3 linked regions of the Elephas maximus indicus genome follow. The protein of the gene in region 1 purifies or fractionates together with the protein of each later gene. This does not show direct contact. Links are inferred from orthologs where the notes say so. Each region holds a gene or a part of one and is shown in the gene's direction. Other genes may lie near its edges. The genes, in order: NRBP1, TSC22D2 and TSC22D1.

Region 1 (7,340 bases):
CAGGTGACTTTTCGCTTATCCCTAGCTGCTCTTAAAATTCTCTATCTTTGGTTTTGGCAAATTTGATTTTAATGTCTTGGTGACTTTCTTTTAAAATCTACATTATGTGGAGTTCGATGAGCATCTTGGATAGATATCTTCTCATCTTTCACGATATCAGGGAAGTTTTCTGCCAACAAATCTTCAACAACTCTCTCTGATTTTCTGTTATCCCTCCCTGTTCTGGTACTCCAATCACTTGTAGGTTATTTCTCTTGATAGAGTCCCACATTATTCTTATGTTTTTTTCATTTTTTAAAATTCTTTTATCTGATTTTCCTTCAAGTATATTGGTGCCAAGTCCTTTACCTTCAAGGTCCCCAATTCTGCCTTCTGCTTGCTTGATTCTGCTCCTCTGCCTTTCTATCGAGTTGTCTAATTTTGTAATTTTATTGTTAATCTTCTGAATTTCCAATTGGTGTCTCTCTATGGATTCTTGCAGTTTATTAAATTTTTCATTATGTTCTTGAAGAACCTTTTTAATTTCTTCAACTGTTTTATCTGTGTGTTCCTTGGCTTGTTCTGTGTATTGCCTGATCTCCTTCCTTATGTCTTGAATAGTTCCGTATATTAATCTTTTGAATTCTGCATCTGGTAATTCCAGGAAGGCATCTTTATCCAGAAGATCCTTTGATTCTCTGTTTTGAGAGCTTGTTGACGTGATCATGGTGTGTTTCTTTATGTGGTTTGATATTGACTGTTGTCTCCAAGCCATCTATAAGTTATTGTTTTAGTTTATTTTATGTTTGCTTACTGTATCCTAGTTTCTTGCTTTGTTTTGTTTTGTTATGCCCAAATGGCTTGCTTGAGTGAGCTAGCTTGACTGTTTTCGCCTTTGGACCTCTGACATCCTGTCACCAGATGGCTAGAGCTGTTATCAGGTATATGAGATTATGAGTCCATTCACTTTTCTTGTGTGAATTCAGCTCAGGTGTCCAGGTAGCTGGTCATCAAGTGTGTGGTACAGGCTCTGTCCTATAGTCTTAGAGGGGCAGGGGTGTTCGGTGTAGGTACCAGTATCTGGTTGCAGCAGGGGGTCATGCTCTGAACAAGGCAGGGGGCTGAGAAGTGTCCCGAGTGTCTCTGAGGAGAGCATGTCCCTCTTCCCTAGAGCGTGCAGGTGGGTGGGTTCTGCAGATGGACCATGGGCACCCAATGCTTTTGGTTGTAAGGACTAGGAGGTACCAGTTATCCATGGACCCCTGTCATGGGTGGCTGGGTGACTTGAGAGGAGCCACCAGTCCTTAGGCCCCTGATGTTTGTAGGTGAGGACCCTGTTTAATAGGCAAAGCCATGTCAAATAACAAACATCCACCTCTCCACTGCACAGGTTAAACAGTCACAATCTGCCAGTAAGGGCCTATTCTTCTGGAATAGGCCCACACAGGTCCATCCAGGGGGGAAAGGTATTCAATGTCCACAGACCATTTATGCTTGGACATGAGCTGCTTCTGTCCTGAGCTCCCCAGGTTAGTGGAGCTGGCAAATTATCTTTTCCCCCTGTTGTGAATTTATTCCTTCTCCAAGTCCAGGAGCATGGCTCAGGGCGTTCAAATGGGCCTATCTCAGGCCCAGGGAAATCAACAGCCACTGAAGCCAGCTTGGGGGTGGGGGGTGCTGTAAAATATACGCAAGTACTTAGATTTTGCCGAGAGCACCATTTTTCTCTGGTTCCAGAGGTGTGAGTAGGCTGTGCGGCTGGCTATTTCTCCCTGAGGAAACTGCGGCAGAACACTACAACCAGCCCGCCACAGCCACTTCCAGGAATGGTGCCTGAGGGATCTCAGACATTCAGGTCCGGCAACTCCTGTCTGCTTCTGAATGGTCTCACTCTCCACCTGCCACTTGGTCCATTTTCTAACCTTGCCTTTGATGTTCAGGGCTCCTAGCTTGTCATAATTGTTTCACTTGATTTTTCGGGTCTTTGTTGTAAGATGGAACGCAGGAAGCATCTGGCTATTCCGCCATCTTCTATCTGAGCATGTTAAATGTGAATGAAAGTTTAAAAATAAGATGAAAGCATGAGTATGCCAAAGGGTCCTCTGTGCATATTGGAAAGAAGAAGGTAGTTCAAAGGGAAAGGTTGATAATTCTAAGGTCCCAGATGGAAGAGAATGGGAAACTATAATGATTACATCAACTGACATTTAATAAATACCTACCATGGGCCAGGCATTTCAATTGTGTTAGAACCCACAGGGAGAAGAAGTTAAGCTGGGAAGAGGTAGGTACATCTTTTCCTTTGAGATTAGAACAAAGATTCTTAATCTCAACTCCCTGAAATTATATGCTAAACTTAGTGGGCAAGTGCATTAAAAAAAAAAAAAAAAAAATCCAAAAGGCAGCCCATATCTTTCATCAGATTTCTAAAAAGTGTGTTTGAGCCCTCTCTTTCAAAGATAAAAGAATTAAGGAAGGGTGAAAGATTGGTTTTAGAAATAAATACTTTGAGGTGAAGAGATAAGAAAATGAGATGGCTTCTGCAAGTTATCCCTTTCAAGGCCTAATTATTTTCTGCTTTGAATTTTAAATGGAATGCATGCTGAATCATTGAGTGTGTCTGAATTTTTCAGCAGTATGAATTTTTTATTGCCTCACCCCACCAATCCTACCCTCAGTGTCCAGAGGGACATATGTGTTCCAAATAATTTTTTAAAATCAAAATCCATCTTTTACCTACCAAAAGTATTGATTCAGCACTTCATACAATACCCTGTAAAAGGAGTAATTTGTGGCACACACTCATTTCTTCCATTTCAAGCAATTATATAGGTCCTCACCTTGCAGCAGCACACACTGCGAGAAAAGTTTCCCAAGAAACCTCAGAGGCAGACTATGTAAGTGAGCAATATATTTCCCACAGGTTGGGAAAGGATTATCCTCTCGATGAAGTAGGATTGTTGTTAGGTGCCATCGAGTCAATAACGACTCATAGTGACCCCATGTGACAGATTGGAACTACCCCTTTTGGTTTTGATCTTGACGGAAACAGATTGCCAGAGCCAGGCGTTTCTCCTACTAGCCGCTAGGTAAAGATGACCAGGTGTTTCTCCTTTGGAACCACTGGGCGGGTTCCAACTGCCAACCTTTTAGTTAGCAGGCTAGTGCTTAACTATTTGAGCCACCAGGGCTCCTCTGAAGTAGGATTAGATTCTCTTTAGGACAGTGAAATTTGGTGATTATGACATTCCCAAATTCTGGTGATTGGCTTATCTTCTCCCCTCCGGTGTATATGTCTAATGGCAAATTGAACTTCCATCCTTTAGGCTCTGCATATACTTTTCTGGGATCAATGGGTTCACCCAAAATCCATTTTTTACACCTCACCCAATCTAAGTTCTCCAAATATCTTCTCAATGAGGTCTTCTTCGGTGAATCTTATTTCAGATTCTGGTTTTGGCTGTCATCAACCTAACTTTGGATAGTTTAGTGCCTTTTATTCAGTTTTTATTTTTGTATTTGTCGACTATCAATGATAAAATTTCAATGAGTTCTTCTGAAAATCATCAAATAACATTTATGAAATGCTCTTGCAAAGTTTTGGCAAATAACAGTACTATGCAATCACAAAGCGTAGTGATTTTTTTTTTTTTCCTAAAGCTTTCTGAGGAATTGGTGTCCTGGCCACTGCCTCATCCCTAAATAAAGTGGGTGGACGCTCCTCTCAGACTTTCGCTCCTTTTGTCTTTTGGTCGGATTAGAACTGTCATGGCGCCTTCAAGAAGACAGGGGAGATCTTTGTCTAGCAGAATCACCGGGGGTTCCTGGACTGGGTACAGGGGTGGACAGAGAAGAGGTCCCCAGGTGGAATGGAAAAGGCCGAACTCCCCGAGCGGCCCCCGCCAGACCGGCTCAAGGGGAAGAGGCCCGGTTGAAGACTCCCTCCCACTGACCCTCTAAACTGGGCACCGCCCACTCAGCCGTCTTGTCCAATGGAAACCTAAGGCAGTGCGGCACCGCCCATCTGTTGGTCAGGACGCCGCGAGGGCGGGGCCCGTAGTTCGGTTGCGCTGTGGAGCGCAGCTGTGAGGGAGTCTCTCTGATCCGGGGCCCCGGAACCCGAGCTGGAGCTGAAGCGCAGGCTGCGGGGAGCGGTGTCCGGAGGTGAGCGCAGAAGGGAACGAGGGAATCGGGTGGGAGGTCGGCAAGGGGACGAAAGGATCGGCTTCCGAGCCCCAGGGCGTTGGACCCCGGCAGGCGGGTGCCTGAAGGCGGCCTTGCTCACTCGGAAGCCCGGGCCGGCCCGCCTGAGCCCGGGGGCCGCCTCTGCCCCACAGTCCCTGCCTGGCCCTCCTCAACCTCCTCGGAGTGGAGGCGGCCCGGAATTCCGCCCGCGCGGGTCGGGAGGGCCCTGACGTTCGCTTCGAACTCTGGCTGACGAGGGCGGGGCCGACGGGCGGGGGCGGGGCGGGCGGGCGGTGCGGGCCCGGCGGCCTGCGGAAGCGCTGCGGCCGGCGCGCTGGCTGCGCGGGGGCGTGGCCTCCGCCCTGACGGCGCCGCCCGCCAGCCCGCTGGCCTTTGATGAGGTGGCCGCAGCGCACTTTGGGGCCTGCGGGCCGCGCTGTTCCAGACACCGGGCAGGGCGACCTGTTGGAATGCGAAATTCGGAGGGCCTCTTCTTCTCTAGAGCTTGCTTTATTTCTGACTGGACAGTTTTGCGGGTCTCGGACCTTTTTGGTCAGCTCAGGAGAGGCCCGGGCCTGCGAGCTGTTGCTGAGGAGTTGAAACACAGAGGGGCGACAGTTCAGTAAATGAAAGTCTCTGAGAAAAACTTAGCGGGACGACCTACACTGCTCAGAAGTGAACATACTGTGCATCTTGAGGTGACTGGAGGCAGCGAGGAGATTCCCCTATGGGCGTAAATTCAACAGACATTCATTCGAGTGCCTGTCACAGGCCAAACACTAACAAAAAAACAAACCCGTTGCAGTTGAGTGGATTCCGACTCTTAGTGACCCTGGAGAACCAAGTAGAGCTGCCCCATAGGGTTTCCAAGGAGCGGTTGGTGGATTCGAACTGCCAACCTTTTGGTTAGCAGCCAAGCTCTTAACCGCTACTGGGAAAAGACTGGGGAGGGAAGGGACAAGCACATTTTAAGGGCATCTCTTTGATGAAAGCTCCTCTTCTCTTGTGGTGCCCTACTGTCGATTAGTAGTTGTTTGTGCCCTGGTGGGTTTGAAGCGTGGACTCTTGGTTAGCGGCCCAGCACTTTAACCACTGCGACACCTGGGCTCCTGAATTCCACTGATATTTCCTATTATAATCTAGCTGGAAATTTTTCTTAGCTGTTCCACATACCAGATGCATTCATTGATTATAGTTGCTCTAGAAATTAACCGATACAAACTTTCTTATCCATTTTCTTAGCTACTTTTCATGGGAAGAAGGAGAATGATCTCTGGTAGATTATTAAGGCGTGGTTTCGCGGCTTGGCTGAGTGAAATCTCTTTGGGAAGCCAGGACTTAGAAAATAACATGGAGAAAGAGTATCTTACCAGATTTTCTCTGTACTGCCTTGTTGCTTCTTGGTGTTTACTAGAATTTCATCTAATAGAAATTTCTGGACTTGGGTTGAATATAGTGTGAGTTGGGGGTATGGGTGGGCAGAAGTGGGCATCACAGAGTTCTAAAAAAGAAATGTGGACTTTTCAAAATATTGGTGTTGCTTGGAGGCTCCTGGCATTCTGAACTAAGAGGAGCAAATTTACTTTTCAGAATATCAGTTTTATACTAAAGAGCATTGCCTTGACCCAGCACACACAGGTTCCAACTCCTTCACAGCCTTTGTTCTTAGAGATAGGGAATAACATTCAGTGACTGTCTTTTGACTTTCTGGAAGTTAGTGACATTTCGCTTTTAAGGATTCTTTTTCTTAGAATTCTTTTCTAAGAGTTCTTTTTCTCAGCCATGTTCTGAGAAATTTTATACTATACAGTACTTTCTTTTACAAAGGCTGTATCTTAAGTTATTTGTCAGATTCAATGCCCCAAAGCATGGAAACTTAGGAATGTTTAAGCCATGTGAATGAAATGGAAACTGGAAACAAAGTCTTAGAACTGCTTTGAATTTGTGACTACATGCGTTCGGGGGATCTCATTTATTTTGTTCACTATTATATCTCAAGCAGATAGCCCAGTGCTTGGCCCATGATAAGTGCTTAATAAACATTTGTTGCATGAATGAATGAAAAAAAAATGTTGCTAACCAGTACTCATTAGCCACACTCACATTTTTAAGGTCATTAGGGGTGAGGTCACTAACCTCTGCCAGTCACTTGGACCAAGGATAGCCTCACCATGGATTGGTAGGCTTGTTCTGTGTCTAGGAGGATGGATAGTGAATGCCAAGTTTAGTTCTAGCTGGGTAAATCAACTAAGAGTTTCAGCTGGATAAAGTCAGCCTAAGTGTTAGATCAGTAGAACATTTTAGAGTTCACACTCATCTGTTCTGAACTTGGGTGCTCTGAAAGGAAAGGCTATTGGATGAATATTTTTGCTGTTTACTTGGATCTTACTAGGTGGGGTTATACTTCCTCCTCTTCTCTAGACTAGTCTTAGGAGAATAGTTAATGTTTGAATATTCAAGCAGCATTAATTCTCATTTTGGAAACAAAGGAGGTTTTTTTTTTTAATTTTCTTTCAAATAAGGTTATTAGGATTATTTTTATAGATCTGTCTTGATACCTTCTACCTTCCCCTTCCCTCCTTGCCCAACCAGTGCAGGACTGAGTGTTCCTTCCAGCATGTCGGAGGGGGAGTCCCAGACGGTACTCAGCAGTGGCTCAGATGCAAAGGTAGAATCCTCATCCTCAGCTCCTGGCCTGACGTCAGTGTCACCTCCCGTGACCTCCACAACTTCAGCTGCCTCCCCAGAGGAGGAAGAAGAAAGTGAAGATGAGTCTGAGATCTTGGAAGAGTCACCTTGTGGTCGCTGGCAGAAGAGGCGAGAAGAGGTAAGGCGGTGGTAACGGCACTCTTGGGAGAATGAATTCTAAGGTGAGAACTAGAGGGGCAAAAGTCTCAAAGGGGCAGACCAAACTTCAACAGGCTGGGGGCTAAGAAAAGATGATCAAATGGAGTATTGAAATGGAGGGTTCATGAGGTAACTTTACTTTCTTTTCATTTGAATTTCTTCCTAGGTGAATCAGCGGAATGTACCAGGTATTGACAGTGCATACTTGGCCATGGATACAGAGGAGGGTGTAGAGGTTGTGTGGAATGAGGTACAGTTCTCTGAGCGCAAGAACTACAAACTACAGGAGGTAGGTGGCGGTGAAGGGATGGGGCCTTGGGGGTATTAGG
Region 2 (8,193 bases), on another chromosome or scaffold:
CGTGGTCTCCCTGCAAGGAGTTACTAATGTGATATTGTTCCAGAAACGTAATCTCAAGAAAATCATAATAATAAATCAAATACTACTTATTCAGACAATGGATATTTATTTCTAAAACCATTTCTGCATTTCGTATGTTTAAAACAATTTGGCGATAAAAACAGAAAATAAACATAAGCTACTTCGAAATCCCAGACAAACTTATTAGCTGGGGTTCAAGTTTCCTAATATACATGGGGACTGACTGATAGTGTTAATTCTGAAAGGTTCGTTCTCTTAGCTTAGGCAATTGCTTGATTTCTACAGAAAGTCTGATTCTCTTTGCTTGTATCCCAGAATGTTTAAATTAATGTATCTTTATTATTTTAAATATTAATATGCATTCCTGGGGGATGAGGGGGTGGATCCTGTTTTTTTTTTTTTGGCGGGGGGAGGCGGTTTCTGCAGTTCAACTTCCAGTATCTTGTGACTATGAAACTACCACCTGGTACTGCTGCCATTAAATAATAATAACCCAGTAGAATTTGGGGTAAATGCTTACAAATGATGAAAGGATCTTGCTACAGCAGCTTTTTCCATCAGTGAAAATAATCCTTAGTTGCTAAGTTTTTTTTTTTTTTTCTTTTTCTGCATTGTTCTACCTAAATGTACTTACCATACATTGCTACAATTTGAAATCTTTGAGGGAAATACCAAGCGTAGGACAAACAGTCAAACTGGGGCCCTGAGAGCAGTCATTGAGGGTTCCACAGTCCCTACCTTTGGTTTCTGGGTACAGGTATGGAGCCACGATAACTGCATTAAGACCCTTAGCTTTGAGACTTGGGTCTCCAGGGATCTCTCCCGTTCTAGGGAGTTGAGCTATTAACTCTAGGCTACCATTTTGCGTATCATCAACTCATCACACACTGAGCTTACGCATTTGCACATATATCCCGTCTTCAATCACTTTAGCTATTTGAAGGCTTTTAATCCTTTGTGAATCAACTATGAGTAAACACAGATTTTGTAGTTTGATGATAGTTATATTGTACTTGGAGCCCTGGTGGTGTAGTGGTTAAGGGCTATGGCTGCTAACCAAAAGGTTGGCAGTTTGGATCTACCAGCAGCGCCTTGGAAAACCTATGGGGCAGTTCTACTCTGTCCTAAGGGTTGCTATAGGTCAGAATCAACTCAACAGCCATGGGTTATGTCATATTTGTCCTCTGTACAATGATTTCAAATTTTTTTGCAACAACCAACATTCTAATCATCTTAGCAGTTTTATACAATAAATTCTCTATATTCTTTTAAGGGCAAATGTATAAAATGCAGCTAAGGCGTTTAAAACTGTTGGAGAACATTGTCAAGGCTAAGCACATATACACACAAATCTTTATAATCTAAATGAAACGCTTTAATTTTATGAATCTTATTTTTCCCCCCTAAGATGTTTTTAACACCTTTAACCCTGTCCTTACAAGGAATATAGCCTACTTCTTGATCTCTTCTAAATGATCTTTATCCACACTTTAATTTCATAATAAATCCTTTGTGTCTAAGGAGAAAGTCTTTTTTTTTTTTTTTTAATTTTTATTGTGCTTTAAGTGAAAGTTTACAAATCAAGGCAGTCTTTCACACAAAAATTTATATACTCCTTGCTATATACTCCTAATTGCTCTCACCCGAATGAAATAGCCCGCTCCTTCCCTCCACTCTCTTTTTGTGTCCATTCCACCAGCTTCTAACCCCCTCTGCCCTCTCATCTCCCCTCCAGATAGGAGATGACAACATAGTCTCATGTGTCTACTTGATCCAAGAAGCTCATTCTTCACCAACGTCTTTTTCTATCCCGTTGTTTAGTCCAATCCCTGTCTGAAGAGTTGGCTTTGGGAATGGTTCCTGTCCTGGGCTAACAGAAGGTCTGGGGGACATTACCACCAGGGTCCTTCTAGTCTCAGTCAGACTATTAAGTCTGGTCTTTTTACTAGAATTTGGGGTCTGCATCCCACTGGTCTCCTGCTCCCTCAGGGGTTCTCCGTTGTGTACCCTGTCAGGGCAGTCATCGGTTGTGGCCCAGCACCATTTAGTTCTTCTGAGGAGAAACAGTCTTATAGATTATTTGAAGATTTTCCCTTAAATGTGTGATTGCAGATTAACATCACAAGTATTCAAGAAGTTATGTAACAAGTTCATGTCATGAGACAAGCAGACTTAAGATATTTTTCCAAAAGCCCTAGGCTCAATACCACCCATTGATAACTATTTTTCATAATCTAATAAATCGATCCAAAGTTAAATTAAGCTTTTATAAGTTCATATTAGATTTAACCAGTTGAACTAACTTATTGATGGAGAACTGTCTCTTACAATGACTGAAATGACGGATTTAGAAACGAAACATTCCATGAGCTATCTCTGCCACAAGAGCAGCATAATGTTACACTTGGTTCCTTTACTCCCTCCCACCCCCTTAAGAAACAGGGATGTTATTATGTGGTCTTATTTTACATCTTGACCTCAGTCACTAGGATTTGGAGGACATGGTTTCTACTAAGGCTAAAAGATGTGGTCTTGGCAAAGAATATTGAATATACCATGGACAGCCAAAAGAACGAACAAATCTGTCTTAGAAGAAGTACAACTGGAATGCTCCTTAGAAGCAAGGATGGCGAGACTGCATCTTACATACTTTGGACATGTGGTCAGGAGGGATCAGTCCCTGGAGAAAGACATCATGCTTGGCAGAGTACAGGGTCAGCAGAAAGGAGGAAGGCCCTCAATGAGGTGGATTAACACAGTGGCTGCAACAATGAGCTCAAGCGTAACAAGGATTGTAAGGATGGCGCAGGACCGGGCAGTGTTTTGTTCCGTTGCCCGTAGGGTCGCTATGAGTTGGAATCGACTCGACGGCACCTAACAACAACAACAGCAAAGCTAAAAGACATATCTCTAGAACTTATTTACAACCAAGGACCTAAAAAAAAAAAATCTTTATAAATTTTAATTCTCAAAACATCCTGTGGGAGAAAGAGTATTTCTATTCTTCAAAGATTAGAGAACTGCATGTAACAATTTTATGAATTTTTTAGCTGTTGATGTAAATCATGATGGGACTGCTGAAGATGTAACAAATATAAAATCTTGATTTCTTGCAAGACTTCTTATATTTTATCTAAATGATGGCTGCATTAGTAGGTCAAAGTTCAAGACCTCTGCTTCCCTCAGCCCTCATTTTTTAACTGTGCAAAATAATGGCCTTACCATTTTCTTCCTTTACCAGAAAGTAGCTAAAAGAAGATAAAAATCGCCAGTAATTTCATAGCTGTTCTCCCTACTGGGATAGGAAAGAGTGCTCTCTGACTCGTTGTGGCTGTTCATAGCCCAATCCAAATCATACAACACTCTGTATCCAGCTAAGGGTTTTAGAATAAACAAAAGGAAGAACTCTTAACTATTTAACGCAGTAGGTTCTGCATTTATGGAGCCCATAAGCTGATTTCGTGCTGCAAGTAAAAACAGTCTCAAGAGTTTAAGTGTGGTCTCCAATGTTGAAATCACAGGAAATTCAGGAATATTGGGAATATGTTGGTAACCCCTAGCCTTTTTTTAAACTGACCTCACCCTGGGCAAGTTAACTATTCCCTGATGCCATTGTTGGAGACAGAACTTTTGGCTGAAAGACGATTTTTCTGACTCAGTTTGGCTTGCAATTTTTAGCTAATCCTCCCCACGTCTCTCGACATATCACTTCTGACTATAGTGTCCACATTTATCTTCAGCACAGATTTAAGTGACTCGATTCCTCCAGCCGTCCTCCTCTTTATCTCCACTAAATCCCAACCCCCGTCCCTATCGCCCTCCTTTCAGGGAGATTTTGCTAAGTATTATAGACACAGCCCATGACCTCGCATCTTCCAGTGTCTCGGCACGAACCGATACAAAGACGTTCCATTAACGGAACTGTAAGCTTCTCTAAGGCCTGCTATTTCTAGGAGCGCCCACTCTTCAACTCTTAAAGGACCTCCAGCCCCAAATTTAAATTTTAAAAATTTAAAATAAGGAAACCGCTCCCCCTTTTCACCCTTAGCCCCGCCCCCCCCGCCCGGCCTCCACGCGAAACTCCGCAGGAAACCGGAGGGGGCGGGGCGGTGACGTCACGACGTCGGTGCGTCAGGGAACGGCGGCGGCTGCGGAGCCGGCGGTGGCTGCGGCAGCCGCGGCATTTTAGTCGGCGGCAGCAGCGGCGGCGGCGGCGGTGGCGGCGGGGCTGCTGCTGCTCCTCCCAGCATCCTCGGCGCGGCCATCTCAGCCCCATCTTGGCCGAGGAGAGGGAGCTGCAGCCGCCGCTTGAGCAGTTTTGAATCTGAGTTTCTCCAGAGTCCGCGCACCGAGAGCGCACCGAGGGGAGGCCGGAGAAGACGCCGCCGCTCCCTCCCACGGCCCGAGCGCCTCCGCTCGCCGGCCAGCGCTCCCGCCGCCGCCGCCCCTCTCTCCAGAGCCGCGAGGGGAGGCCGAGACCGCCGCCCGCCCGCCTGCCCGCCCGCGGGGCGGCTCCCCCCTAAGGGGAGGACCGAGCCGGCTCTCCCCTCCCCCGGAGCGGGCTTCCGCCAGGGACGGTCGACATGTCCCCGCGGCCGAGCTCCGGCTAGAGCCGGGGAGGGAGGGCCGCCGGCCGGGCGGAGCCAGCCACCCGGCCCGGCCCCGCGCCCCTCCGCCTGCGCCCCTCAGCGTCCGAGAGCGGAGCCGGCGCCGCCCCTCACGCCGCCCCTCCTCGCCTCGCGCGCCCGCCGGCCGAGGCCTGCTGACCGCGGGGCCGGGGCCGGGAGGAAGCCGCCGGCCCGCCCCTGCGCGCGCCCTCGCCGCCGCTGAGGGCGCCGAATCGAGGCGCCGCGGCTGCGGGCGGCGCAGAGGAAGGAGGAGCCGCGCGAGGCCCAGGCAGCGACTGCGGAGGAAGCGCGCGGAGGATGCGGCCCCGAGCGGCCGGGGGCAGAGCCTGAGCGGCGGCGCGGCGGCCCCAGAGCCCGGCCCTTCCCGGTTCCCGGCGGCTCCGTCGCGGGCCGCAGCCGCCTCACCATGTCCAAGATGCCGGCCAAGAAGAAGAGCTGCTTCCAGATCACCAGTGTCACCACGGCCCAGGTGGCCACGAGCATCACCGAGGACACCGAGAGCCTGGACGACCCGGACGAGTCCCGCACCGAAGACGTCTCCTCCGAGATCTTCGACGTCTCCCGGGCCACGGACTACGGCCCCGAGGAGGTCTGCGAGCGCAGCTCCTCGGAGGAGACGCTCAACAACGTCGGCGACGCCGAGACGCCCGGGACCGTCTCCCCGAACCTCCTGCTGGACGGGCAGCTGGCGGCCGCCGCGGTGGCGCCCGCCAACGGAGGGGCGGCCCGGAGCGCGCTCGGGGCGCCGGCCACCCCCGCGCCTCCCGCCCCGGCCGCCGCAGCGCCGCCGCCGCCGCCGCCTGGCGCCGCCGCGTGCAGCTCGCGCTTCCGCGTGATCAAGCTGGACCACGGCAGCGGCGAGCCCTACCGGCGCGGCCGATGGACGTGCGTGGAGTACTACGAGCGCGACTCGGACAGCAGCGTGCTCACGCGCTCCGGGGACTGCATCCGCCACAGCAGCACCTTGGAGCCCACGGCCGAGCGCGACAGCGGCCTGGGCGCCACCGCGGGGTCGGTGGTGGTGGTGGTGGCCTCCGTGCAGGGGGCGCCCGGGCCCGAGGCGGCCGCTGACAGCTCGGTGCCCGCGGTCACCCAGCCGCCGCCGCCGCCCGAGAAGCCCAGCCAGCCGGGCCCGCCGCCGCCGCCTCTGCCCGGCCCGACCCCGGGGCCCGGCCCGACCCCGGGGCCCGGGGCGCCCGGCCTGGCGCCGCCGTTCGCCTACGCCGCGCCGCCGCCAACGGCGCACCTGCTGCCCGGCCTGCCCGCCGGCCCCGGCGACTACCTGCCGCCGCCCGGCCCCGCCGCGCCGGCCCCCGGGCCGCCCGCCGCCCAGGCCGCAGACGCCCCGGGCCCGCCGGCCGCCGCCGCCCAGGCCGCCGCGGGAGGCGTGGTGCCGCCGGGCCTGGGCCTGCCCGCGCCCCCGCCGCAGATGGGGGGCCCCGGGCCGGCGGCGGTCGTGCCTGCCGGGCCCCACGCCCTGGTGCCCGGGGTGCCCGCCGTGCCCGCGGCCGCGCCCGCCCCCAGCGTGCCTAGTGCGCCCAGCACTTCTGCTCCTATGCCAAATGTCCCCGCGCACGGCGCGCTGCCCCTCGTGCCCGGCGCCCCCGGCAGCCTGCCGCAGGCCGACCTCAGCCAGTTCCAGGCGCAGGGCCCGCCGGCCGCCGGGCCGGTGGACGAGGCCAGAAGGAAGTCGGAACCCCTACCTCAAGCGCCGCTCGCTCTCCTCGCTGAAAACAAGCCTGTCGGCAAGCCCCCCGGGCCCGAGGCCCCGGCGCACGCCCTCCAGTTGACACCCATGAACAGCCTGGCCACCTCTGTCTTCAGCATAGCGATTCCTGTGGACGGCGACGAGGACAGGTATGGAGCAGTCCCTTCTGCGTGTTTGCTAGACTGCTTGCCGAGCACTGCCGCTTAGCACCCCGCTTGGGCGGGTGTCTGTTTCCAGTGGGAACCCCGGGCTTTTTGGTTTATTTATTCGTTTATTTATTTTTGATACCAAGTGGTTTGTGTTTAGCAAAGTCGCCTCACCAGTCCCCGGGAGGAGATTGGGTTTAGGTGGCCCACGTAAAGCTGCGTCATGGCGCATTGGCCGGCCGAGTCGTTCCGAGCACTGAAACGGGCAGAGCGCAGCATTGCTGATTCAGTGTAGGGGAGTAGCCGGCTACGCTCTCTAGGGTTGTCCCTTTCTCAGGCGTCAGTCGCACTGGAACACGGGTGGCATGTTTGTCAGTGTGAGCTGCAGACTGAGGGATGAAGTTATTTGGAAAAGTTTCCCGTTCTGGAACGCCAGCAGCAGCTCTAGCAGCAAAGATCCGCATAAGGAGCCTTGTCCAGGGTCTGCAGAGGCCGGAGAGAGAGCGATGAAACGGCCAGGCCAGCTCTGAAGAGCCTGCTTCCTTTTCAGCCCTGTATTAAAAGGGAGGAGGCGGCCAGGCGGCCTCCCAGGGACCTCTCCAGGCTGCCATGGTCTGTTGGTCTGGTTCGTTAGGCGAAAGACGGACAGGAGGATGTTCTGAGCTGCCATTATTCTCCGCTCTCCGAGGGAGGTGTGGCCTTAGTCTCAACACCAGTAAGAGCTGTCCTTTTTTGAAATTGGAGTGATTTTAGAGTAAAAGTGTAAATGCCAGCAGTTGTCTGTGGTTAAGTGAAAATCGCTGTATTGTCACATGGGTTCCACAGCAGCTGATGTTTGGTTACGGTTTAATGAGGATTTTTAGCGGCTTTGAGGAAATGTCTCATGAAAATTTGGCAGACTGTGTATAACAAATTTTTAAAACGGAGTTGTCACCAAGCTTTGAAATGCTAAAAATTACAGAGAAAGTTTCAGATATTTGACGTTTATTTGCCGGGGTTTTAGTTTTGAGAGAGAGGTTAATTTTAAATGTGTTCAAGGGTCGAAACTGTTTTATGGATCTCTGGAATCAGTGGTGTGCAGAGGAGGATGGTGAAATCTGTTCAGACTTTCTCTTCTGAGTTCCTTCACATGCTTTTCTTTCTGTTCTAATTAGCTTTGGATTTGTTACATGGTTCTGTTGGTTTGAAAAATGCTCACCGAAATTCCTCATCTCTGCTTTTTGTAATCAAGAGCTCATCTTTTTTTGTAGGTGCCTTGGTTGTGGGGAGTCTTCTTCCATTTTAGAACTCTTAGAGATACCACAAGTCCAGGAGTGAGCTCAGCTAGCTAGTCACTGCTACCAAGTAAAAGAAAAAAAAAGCTACTCAGAAAAAAAAAAAATCCCTCAGTTCTTTTATAGCTGCTTCCATATTTCACTCTTCACACACAGGGGCATGCCCAGAATGTAGATTTAGGTTATTTTATCACCTTTGGTGGTAGCAGGCAACTTCCCTTTTCTAGCTGCCGGAAGCCAATTTTTTTTTCATGGTTTAGTAAATAACCATTTGCTTACCTTTCTGCTCCTGTACACTGCCCTCATCTCTCATCAAGAAAGGATGGCTGGTTTCCCAACCTCTTCCTCCCCCACCCCCACACACATAACTGTGACTGTCCCTCCTCTTCACCACATCTCTGAATTTACAGCATAAG
Region 3 (7,510 bases), on another chromosome or scaffold:
TCTATCTTTACCACTTACAGCTGTTCTGAGGGTAAGCATTCCTTTCCTGCTCTGCCAGGGCACTGCTTTTGGAGAATTAAAACCAAAACACCCATTGCCTGAGTTGATTCCGACTCATAGCGCCCCTGTAGGACAGAGTAGAACTGCCCCATAGAGTTTCCAAGGAGCGCCTGGTGGATTTGAACTGCTGACCTTTTGGTTAGCAGCCAAGCTCTTAACCACTGTGCCACCACTGCTTATTGCAGTTTTTGCAAATAGGTAAATTTTCTATTTTATGACACAATAAACACTAAACAGAGCTAAATATACATGCTGGTTTGCAATATGGCAATAAACAGGTTTAAGTGAGCATTGTAATACAGCTAATCTTAAATTAAGAGAGAGGTAATTCAGAGATACGACCTCAGAACTTAACAGTTGAAATTCAGTCTTTCAATGGTAATGACAACTAAAAGCCTGGGTTCAAAGGATTCGATGACTTTATTACACACAACCAGTTGCCGCTGAGTTGACTCTGAGTCCTGGTGACCCCGTATGTGTCACAGTAGAATTGTACTCCATAGAGTTTTCAGTGACTGCTTTTTCAGTAGATTGCCAGGCCTTTCATCTGTGGTGCCTCTGGGTGAACTTGAACCACCAACCTTTTGGTGTCAGTAACTGTGTGCACCACTCAGGGGCTCCTTTATCACACTTAGCAGTAGGCATTTAATATTCACGTAAAAATACCCTGACTTTTTTATTACAAGGTAACACATGATACCAACTCCTGGCTGTTCAGGTGCTTCTGCTTATTTTGATGTATTTGTGTTCACGTATTGCTGGTCATTGAAACGTTGGCAACTGGAGAGAGTGAGAACAAGAGAGAGAGAGAGGCACATTGTTCAAGGTCCTATTTCCTTAATTGCACAGTTACGCTTTATATCTTAGTGGGACCTGATGCAGCCCAAAAAGAGGTTTGAAAATGATATGGCAGACAAAAAATTAAATACATTTGAAAAACAATGTTTTCTTATGTCCTGGAAAAGTAAAACAAAATGAAAAATTTTTTGAAAGAACTAACACCCCTCTCCCAACAAAATAGACAAATCCGCAATACTGTTTGTTAATGGTTATTAGAATTAAGTATCATCTTCTACAGGATTGTCTCAACAACTTATTCATTCTTCAACTTTGGGTGAGATTTTAACATATTTTACGTGTTTCTTCTTCTTCAAACCATACCAGCACAATCCTAGCGGGCATTTAGGTGGCCTAGGGAGCTGCTGTTTGGGGTAGTTTAAAACTTTGACCTGAGACAACATTTTGAGAGATTAAGAGCATTTTCTTCCTCTCACACTGTAGTCCGAAGAGACTGCATTCTGCCCATCTACATTCAAGTGGTGAGGATAGTTTCTATTTTCCTTTCAAAAACTGTTGAAAAAGCTTGTCAGATTTGCATTTTGACAATGAATGGCAGCCAGTAGCCAGGCATATCACTCCCAACAAAAGCTGCTGACAGATTAAAAAAGAAATGATTATTTTTGTAAAATACGCAAAAGGCCATAGGAAAAAAAAAAAAAAAAACACAAAAAAACCCCAAACCCACTGCCTTCGGGTTGATTATGACTCATAGCAACCCTATAGGGCAGAGAAAAACTGCCCCATGGAGTTTCCAAGGAGCACCTGGTGGATTCGAACTGCAGAGCTCTTGGTCAGCAGCCATAGCAGTTAACCACTACACCATCAGGGTTTCCCAAAAGGCCACAGCTATCTAAAAATGCAAGTATATTCATGTATAAACTCATGAATATCATAAAGCAAAGTATTATCTTTTCAAATGTATTTGACTTTTATCACTTCACTTTCAGTATTTGTAATCTCCTACTTCGTACCTAGCACACAGATTCCATTAGCAATTTGACATCCAAAAATACAGTCAGGCCTTTTGGATTCAGTGGAGAAATAAAAAAAATTTTTTTTTTTTTTGAGTGGAGAGACCGCAGATAAAGCAACAATATATTACAGTTTTGATACAGGGTAGACAAGGGATGTTGAGGAAGCATTTCTATTCAACAATGTAAGACAATCGTGACATTGTTAACTTTCTGAGGGATGGAATGAAGAAAAAGTTCACGTTGAACTAAGTGTTCTATCGAAAACCTGTAGAAGACAATTGATTATGCTTTAACAATCTTCTGAATAGCATTGTGGATCTGTGAGTCCGTCAGGTTTCCTGAATCAATAAACGTTTACGCCCCCAACAACCTAAATTAAAACAAATAAATAACTTAAAAAATTCTCTCCTGGGTTCTTTAGCTTATTTTGTAATTGTTTTTAATTCCAGGGCGAGTAGTAGTAGAAATGCTTAGCGCTAAAATGTCATGTAATGCCAGGCGGGCGACTTCCAGTAAATTGCCTCCCGCCAAACCTGACTCTGCTTCTGTAAAAATACGTTCGAACCCATGGCAAGTATTTTTTTCCCCCCAAAGTGGAATTTCAGATGGCTTTTTTTTTTTTTTTTTAGCCCTAAGTGGCATTCTTCATTTATGTTTCCACTTGTGTTCCCACCATGCCTTTTAAGTCAAACCCATGGAGGCCACAACCTGGACAATTAAACCAAAAGGCACTAAGGCTGAGAACAAGCTCCACCTGTTGAGGTCAGTTCACTGGGCTGGGCTGCTTCCCTCCAGGTCAGGAGGGCACAACCACTCCCTCTAGACAAGAGTCTACCCCGTGGACCTTAGGTAGTTAACTGCCAACATCTGCAACATCTGCCCGGCAGGCTCGCCCTTGGCCGTCGAAGGCTGAGGGGACCGCATGGCAGCCACTTTTCTTTCTTTTTTTGCACTGCACAAAAGGCAACACCTATCGCCGGGAGCCACCGGCCCTGCGCGGACGCCGCAACTCCCGGCGCTGTGGTGTCTCCCGAGGGGACAAGGGCAGGACCGGCCCGGGGCGAGCCCAGGTGCGGCAAGAAGAGCAGGGCTCCGCCGCGGGCCCAGAAGAAAGCCTGACTCATTTCGTGACGGCGGCGGCGGGCTCCTGGGAACTCAACTCGTGATGCTGTTGCTGCGGAGAAAAGCCTCATTACCCATTCCGCAGGCGGGGACACCACCCAGGGCGCGCACACCCGAGACCGGGGCTCCAGCACCCTCCGCGAGCCTCGCCCCTCGCCGCGGCGCCCCCTCCTCTGCCGCGCGCCCGCGCGCCCGCCGCGCGCGAGGAGAGCGGACACGCCCAACCTGGCGCGCGCGGCCCGCGCCCCTCAGCCTGCCCCACCCCCACTCAGAATCCCACAGTCCGACCCGGATCCGCTCCCTCGGCTGAAATTCCCCACCCCCAACACCCCAGGCGTCGGCGCCTCCGCCAGCCTTCGGCAATTTCCGTGTCGAGACCGCGTTCGGCAAGGCCCGAAGACCCGCCGCCTCCTCGCCGGCCAGACGAGGCTTTATGTCTGAGGCGCTGGGGCGCATGCGCAGACGCCATCTTTCCTCCGTCCCCTTTCCTTGCCCCCTCCCCCCGTCGCCACCGCCTCCTCCTCTCGCCGGCAGTCGCCCCTCCTCCTCCTGCGCTCGGGCGCTGGTCCCTCCTCTCCCAATGCCGCGAGAGACTGGGGGATACGGGGGAGCCGGGGGAGCCGGAGAAGGGCACTGTTAGCCACCAGAGCCCCCTCCCCGCCCGACACCCTCCCTCAACACCCACCCACTCACCCGCCCCGTTTACCAACACCGGCCAACCCCACCTCTCGTTCCTTTGAACGGCGTCGGCTGCAGTCGCTGCACCAGCCCGTCTGGCCACCAACGCCGCCGAGAAAGGAGCCGCCGCCGCCGCCGCCTGGGCCGCGGGAGCAGCGGGGTGAAGACGAGCCGGCTGCGGAGACGACGACAAGCGAGGCGCACAGCCCTCCGCTCCAGCGCACGTCCCGCCGCCCTCCGGGGAGCCTCGGGCGCCGGCCCCTTCCTCCCCGAGGACGTGTGCCGAGCCGAGGCGCCTGCCCTGAGGGAGGAAAATGCTCGGGCTCCATGGCTGCCAGTGATGGAGCGGTCCCTGGGCTCCCGCTGCCACCGCCGCCGCCGCGACCCGGCCGTGCTCCGCGAGGACCCGGCGTCTCTGCGCCCCCGCCCGCGCCTCGTTGCGGGGCTCACCGTACCGGGCGCCCCGCCGCCGCCCCGCTCCGAGCCTCGCCGCCCCAGCCGCGGCCAGCGTTTCCTCCCGGAGCAGCCGCCGCGAGCCCAGGGGGTTTGAAAGGGTCCGCGGGGCGTGGGGGGAGGGCGCGGCGGGGCCGGCGGGGCCGGGCGGGGAGGTTTGAGCGGCACTGAGCTCGGGGCTCGCCGGCGGCGGCGCCGGGGGTGGCGAGGGGAAGGCGGGAGGGTGTTGCAGAGCCGCCGCCGCCGCGCCGGGAGGAGGGGGCTGAGGTGGCTTCTGAGTTGGCCGGAGGAGGTGGGCATTTCTCGGTTCCCCTCTCCCTTCCCCTCCTCTCCCGCCTGCCCCGCACCCCACGTGAAGCAGAATAAAGGGGGGGGGGGGTGTGAGAGTAGAGGGGAGAGTGAATGGCGAAGGACTGAAGGGGGCTCCCTTCGGGACCCCGGCCGCCCTGTTCACCCTCGTTCATCCTCCCTTCCCGAAGCTCGCCCTCGAAGGCAGTAGCGACCGGCCCCGGTGCCTTCGGCTGAGGAGGAGGAGGAGGAGGAATCGCGCCCGGCAGAGCGTCAGTCCCGTTTTCCTCTCCGGCTCTTCAGTACAAAGATTACGGTGCAGAAGGAAATTGCACTCGGCTCCTCCGCCCCCCGGTACCCGACACAATGCACCAGCCGCCTGAGTCGGCCGCCGCCGCTGCAGACATTAGTGCGAGGAAGATGGCGCACCCGGCTGTGTTCCCTCGGAGGGGCAGCGGCAGTGGCAGCGCCTCTGCTCTCAGCGCAGCAGGTACCGGCGTGGGGAGTAATGCCACATCTTCGGAGGATTTTCCGCCTCCGTCGCTACTCCAGCCGCCGCCTCCTGCAGCATCTTCCACGACGGGACCACAGCCTCCGCCTCCGCCTCCACAAAGCCTCAACCTCCTTTCCCAGACGCAGCTGCAGGCACAGCCTCTTGCGCCAGGAGGAACGCAAATGAAAAAGAAGAGTGGCTTCCAGATAACTAGCGTTACTCCGGCTCAGATCTCCGCCAGTATCAGCTCCAACAACAGCATAGCAGAGGACACGGAGAGTTACGATGATCTGGATGAATCGCACACGGAAGATTTGTCTTCTTCCGAGATCCTTGATGTGTCACTTTCCAGGGCTACTGACTTAGGGGAACCAGAACGTAGCTCCTCAGAAGAGACTCTCAATAACTTCCAGGAAGCGGAGACACCTGGGGCAGTCTCTCCCAACCAGCCTCACCTTCCTCAGCCTCTTTTGCCACATCTTCCACAACAGAATGTTGTGATCAATGGGAATGCCCATCCACACCACCTCCATCACCACCACCACATTCATCATGGACACCACCTCCACCATGGGCACCACCATCCTGCCCATGCTGGTGTGGCCAGTGCATCCATTCCTGCAGGGCCACCCTCAAGCCCAGTATCCAGAAAACTCTGCACAGCTGGGAGCTCTGAGAGTGTAATACCAGCTGCACCAACTTCTGCTATATCATCCGGTGGCTCACCTGCAACTGTAATGACTACTATCCGCACTCCCAGCACTCCTGGCAGTATAGGTATAAGTTCTGTGACCGGCACTGGTACAGTGAATAACGTTAACATTTCTGCTGTGGGTAGTATTACTCCTAATGTGACAGGCAGCATGCTTGGTAATGCTAATGTGAATACAAGCAGTATCCCTAGTGCTGCTAGTGTGAGTGTTGGACCTGGAGCTAGCAGGGGTGTTAATGTGAATATCTTGAGTGGCATGGGCAATGGTACTGTTTCTTCCTCTGCTATTGTTAACAGTGTCCCTAATGCAGCCACAGGGATGACTGTGGGATCGGTTTTAAGTCAGCAGCAACAACCAGCAGTTAACACATCAAGGTTCAGAGTTGTGAAGTTAGATACCAGTTCTGAACCTTTTAAGAAAGGTAGATGGACTTGTACTGAGTTCTATGAAAAAGAAAGTGCTGTACCTGCTACAGAAGGTGTGATAAATAAAGTGGTGGAGACTGTAAAACAAAACCCCATGGAAGTGACTTCTGAGAGGGAGAGCACTAGTGGGAGTTCAGTGAGCAGTAGCGTCAGCACACTGAGTCACTACACAGAGAGTGTGGGAAGTGGAGAGATGGGAACCCCGACTATGGTGGCGCAGCAGCAGCAACCAGCTCTTCAAGGTGTGGCCCCTCAACAAATGGATTTTGGTAGCACTGGTCCGCAGAGTATTCCAGCAGCTAGTATACCGCAGAGCGTTTCCCATTCACAGATGCAGTCTCAGGAACTGAGCTATCAGCAAAAGCAAGGTCTTCAACCGGTACCTCTGCAAGCCACTATCAGTGCTGCAACTGGTATCCAGCCATCGCCTGTGAATGTGGTTGGTGTGACTTCAGCTTTAGGTCAGCAGCCTTCCATGTCCAGTTTGGCTCAGCCCCACCTGCCGTATTCTCAGAGCACTCCTCCAGTGCAAACTCCCCTTCCAGGGGCACCACCTCAACAGTTACAATATGGACAACAGCAACCGGCTGTTTCTACACACATGGCCCCAGGCCCTGGGAAATCAGTGACTCAGAATCCTCCTTCAGAGTATATACATGTACAGCAGCAGCCGATTCTTCAGACGGCAGTGTCCGCCGGACAGCCCGCTTCTGCAGCAGTGGGAGCAGGAGCAGCAGTGATTCCTGTGGCTCAGCCGCAGGGTATCCAGCCGCCAGTGCAGTCCACTCTAGTCCAAGCACAGCCTGCAGGGGCATCTGCCCAGCCCACTGGCCAGGCTCAGACAGCAGTGGCTGCTGTACCTACTAGTGGTCAGATTGCAAATATTGGTCAGCAGGCGAATGTACCTACTGCAGTGCAGAAGCCCTCTACTCAAGTCACACCTTCAGTTATTCAGCAAGGTGCTCCTCCGTCTTCACAAGTAGTTCCACCTGCTCAAACTGGGATTCTTCATCAGGGAGTTCAAGCTAGTGCTTCAAGCCTTCCTCAACAATTGGTTATTGCACCCCAGAGTACCTTGTTAACTGTGCCTCCCCAGCCACAAGGAGTAGAGTCGGTAGCTCAAGGAGGTGTTCCACAGCAATTGCCCGCAGTTAGTCCTTTGCCCTCTGCTAGTAGTATTTCTGTTACGAATCAGGTTAGCTCAACTGTTCCTTCCGCAATGTCTTCTGCCCCAGCAAACTTGGTTCCACCGCAGAATATAGCACAAACCCCTGTCACCCAAAATGGTAATTTGGTTCAGAGTGTTAGTCAACCTCCCTTGATAACAACTAATATAAATTTGCCCTTGGCACAACAAATAACACCGAGTTCTGCTCAGTTCTCTGCACAATCATTAGCTCAGGCAATTGGAAGCCAAATTGAAGATGCCAGGCGCCCAGTGGAACCCTCCTTAGTTGGCTTACC

Evidence for each region.
Region 2: the proteins of NRBP1 (region 1) and TSC22D2 purify together in Homo sapiens (affinity purification with mass spectrometry; 5 studies listed by BioGRID and IntAct, with this or other methods). This does not show direct contact. The link is inferred for Elephas maximus indicus from reciprocal best matches to the Homo sapiens genes NRBP1 and TSC22D2.
Region 3: the proteins of NRBP1 (region 1) and TSC22D1 purify together in Homo sapiens (affinity purification with mass spectrometry; 6 studies listed by BioGRID and IntAct, with this or other methods). This does not show direct contact. The link is inferred for Elephas maximus indicus from reciprocal best matches to the Homo sapiens genes NRBP1 and TSC22D1.

Annotation. Positions count from the first base shown.
Region 1 is NC_064830.1:45,926,942-45,934,281, forward strand, and holds the start of NRBP1 (nuclear receptor-binding protein), read left to right. Parts: upstream 1-4,026; 5' UTR 4,027-4,143; intron 4,144-6,756; exon of another isoform or gene 6,757-6,761; 5' UTR 6,762-6,781; coding exon 6,782-6,991; intron 6,992-7,177; coding exon 7,178-7,300; intron 7,301-7,340. UniProt on the Homo sapiens protein: Required for embryonic development. Plays a role in intestinal epithelial cell fate and proliferation, thereby involved in the architectural development of the intestine potentially via the regulation of Wnt-responsive genes.
Region 2 is NC_064841.1:9,524,653-9,532,845, reverse strand, and holds the start of TSC22D2 (TSC22 domain family protein 2), read left to right. Parts: upstream 1-4,966; 5' UTR 4,967-5,055; coding exon 5,056-6,506; intron 6,507-8,193. UniProt on the Homo sapiens protein: Reduces the level of nuclear PKM isoform M2 which results in repression of cyclin CCND1 transcription and reduced cell growth.
Region 3 is NC_064832.1:35,811,446-35,818,955, forward strand, and holds the start of TSC22D1 (TSC22 domain family protein 1), read left to right. Parts: upstream 1-4,463; 5' UTR 4,464-4,581; coding exon of another isoform or gene 4,582-4,591; 5' UTR 4,592-4,781; coding exon 4,782-7,510. Other genes in the region: uncharacterized protein LOC126057991, read right to left, coding at 789-840, 3,722-4,463, 4,582-4,591. UniProt on the Homo sapiens protein: Transcriptional repressor. Acts on the C-type natriuretic peptide (CNP) promoter. Acts to promote CASP3-mediated apoptosis.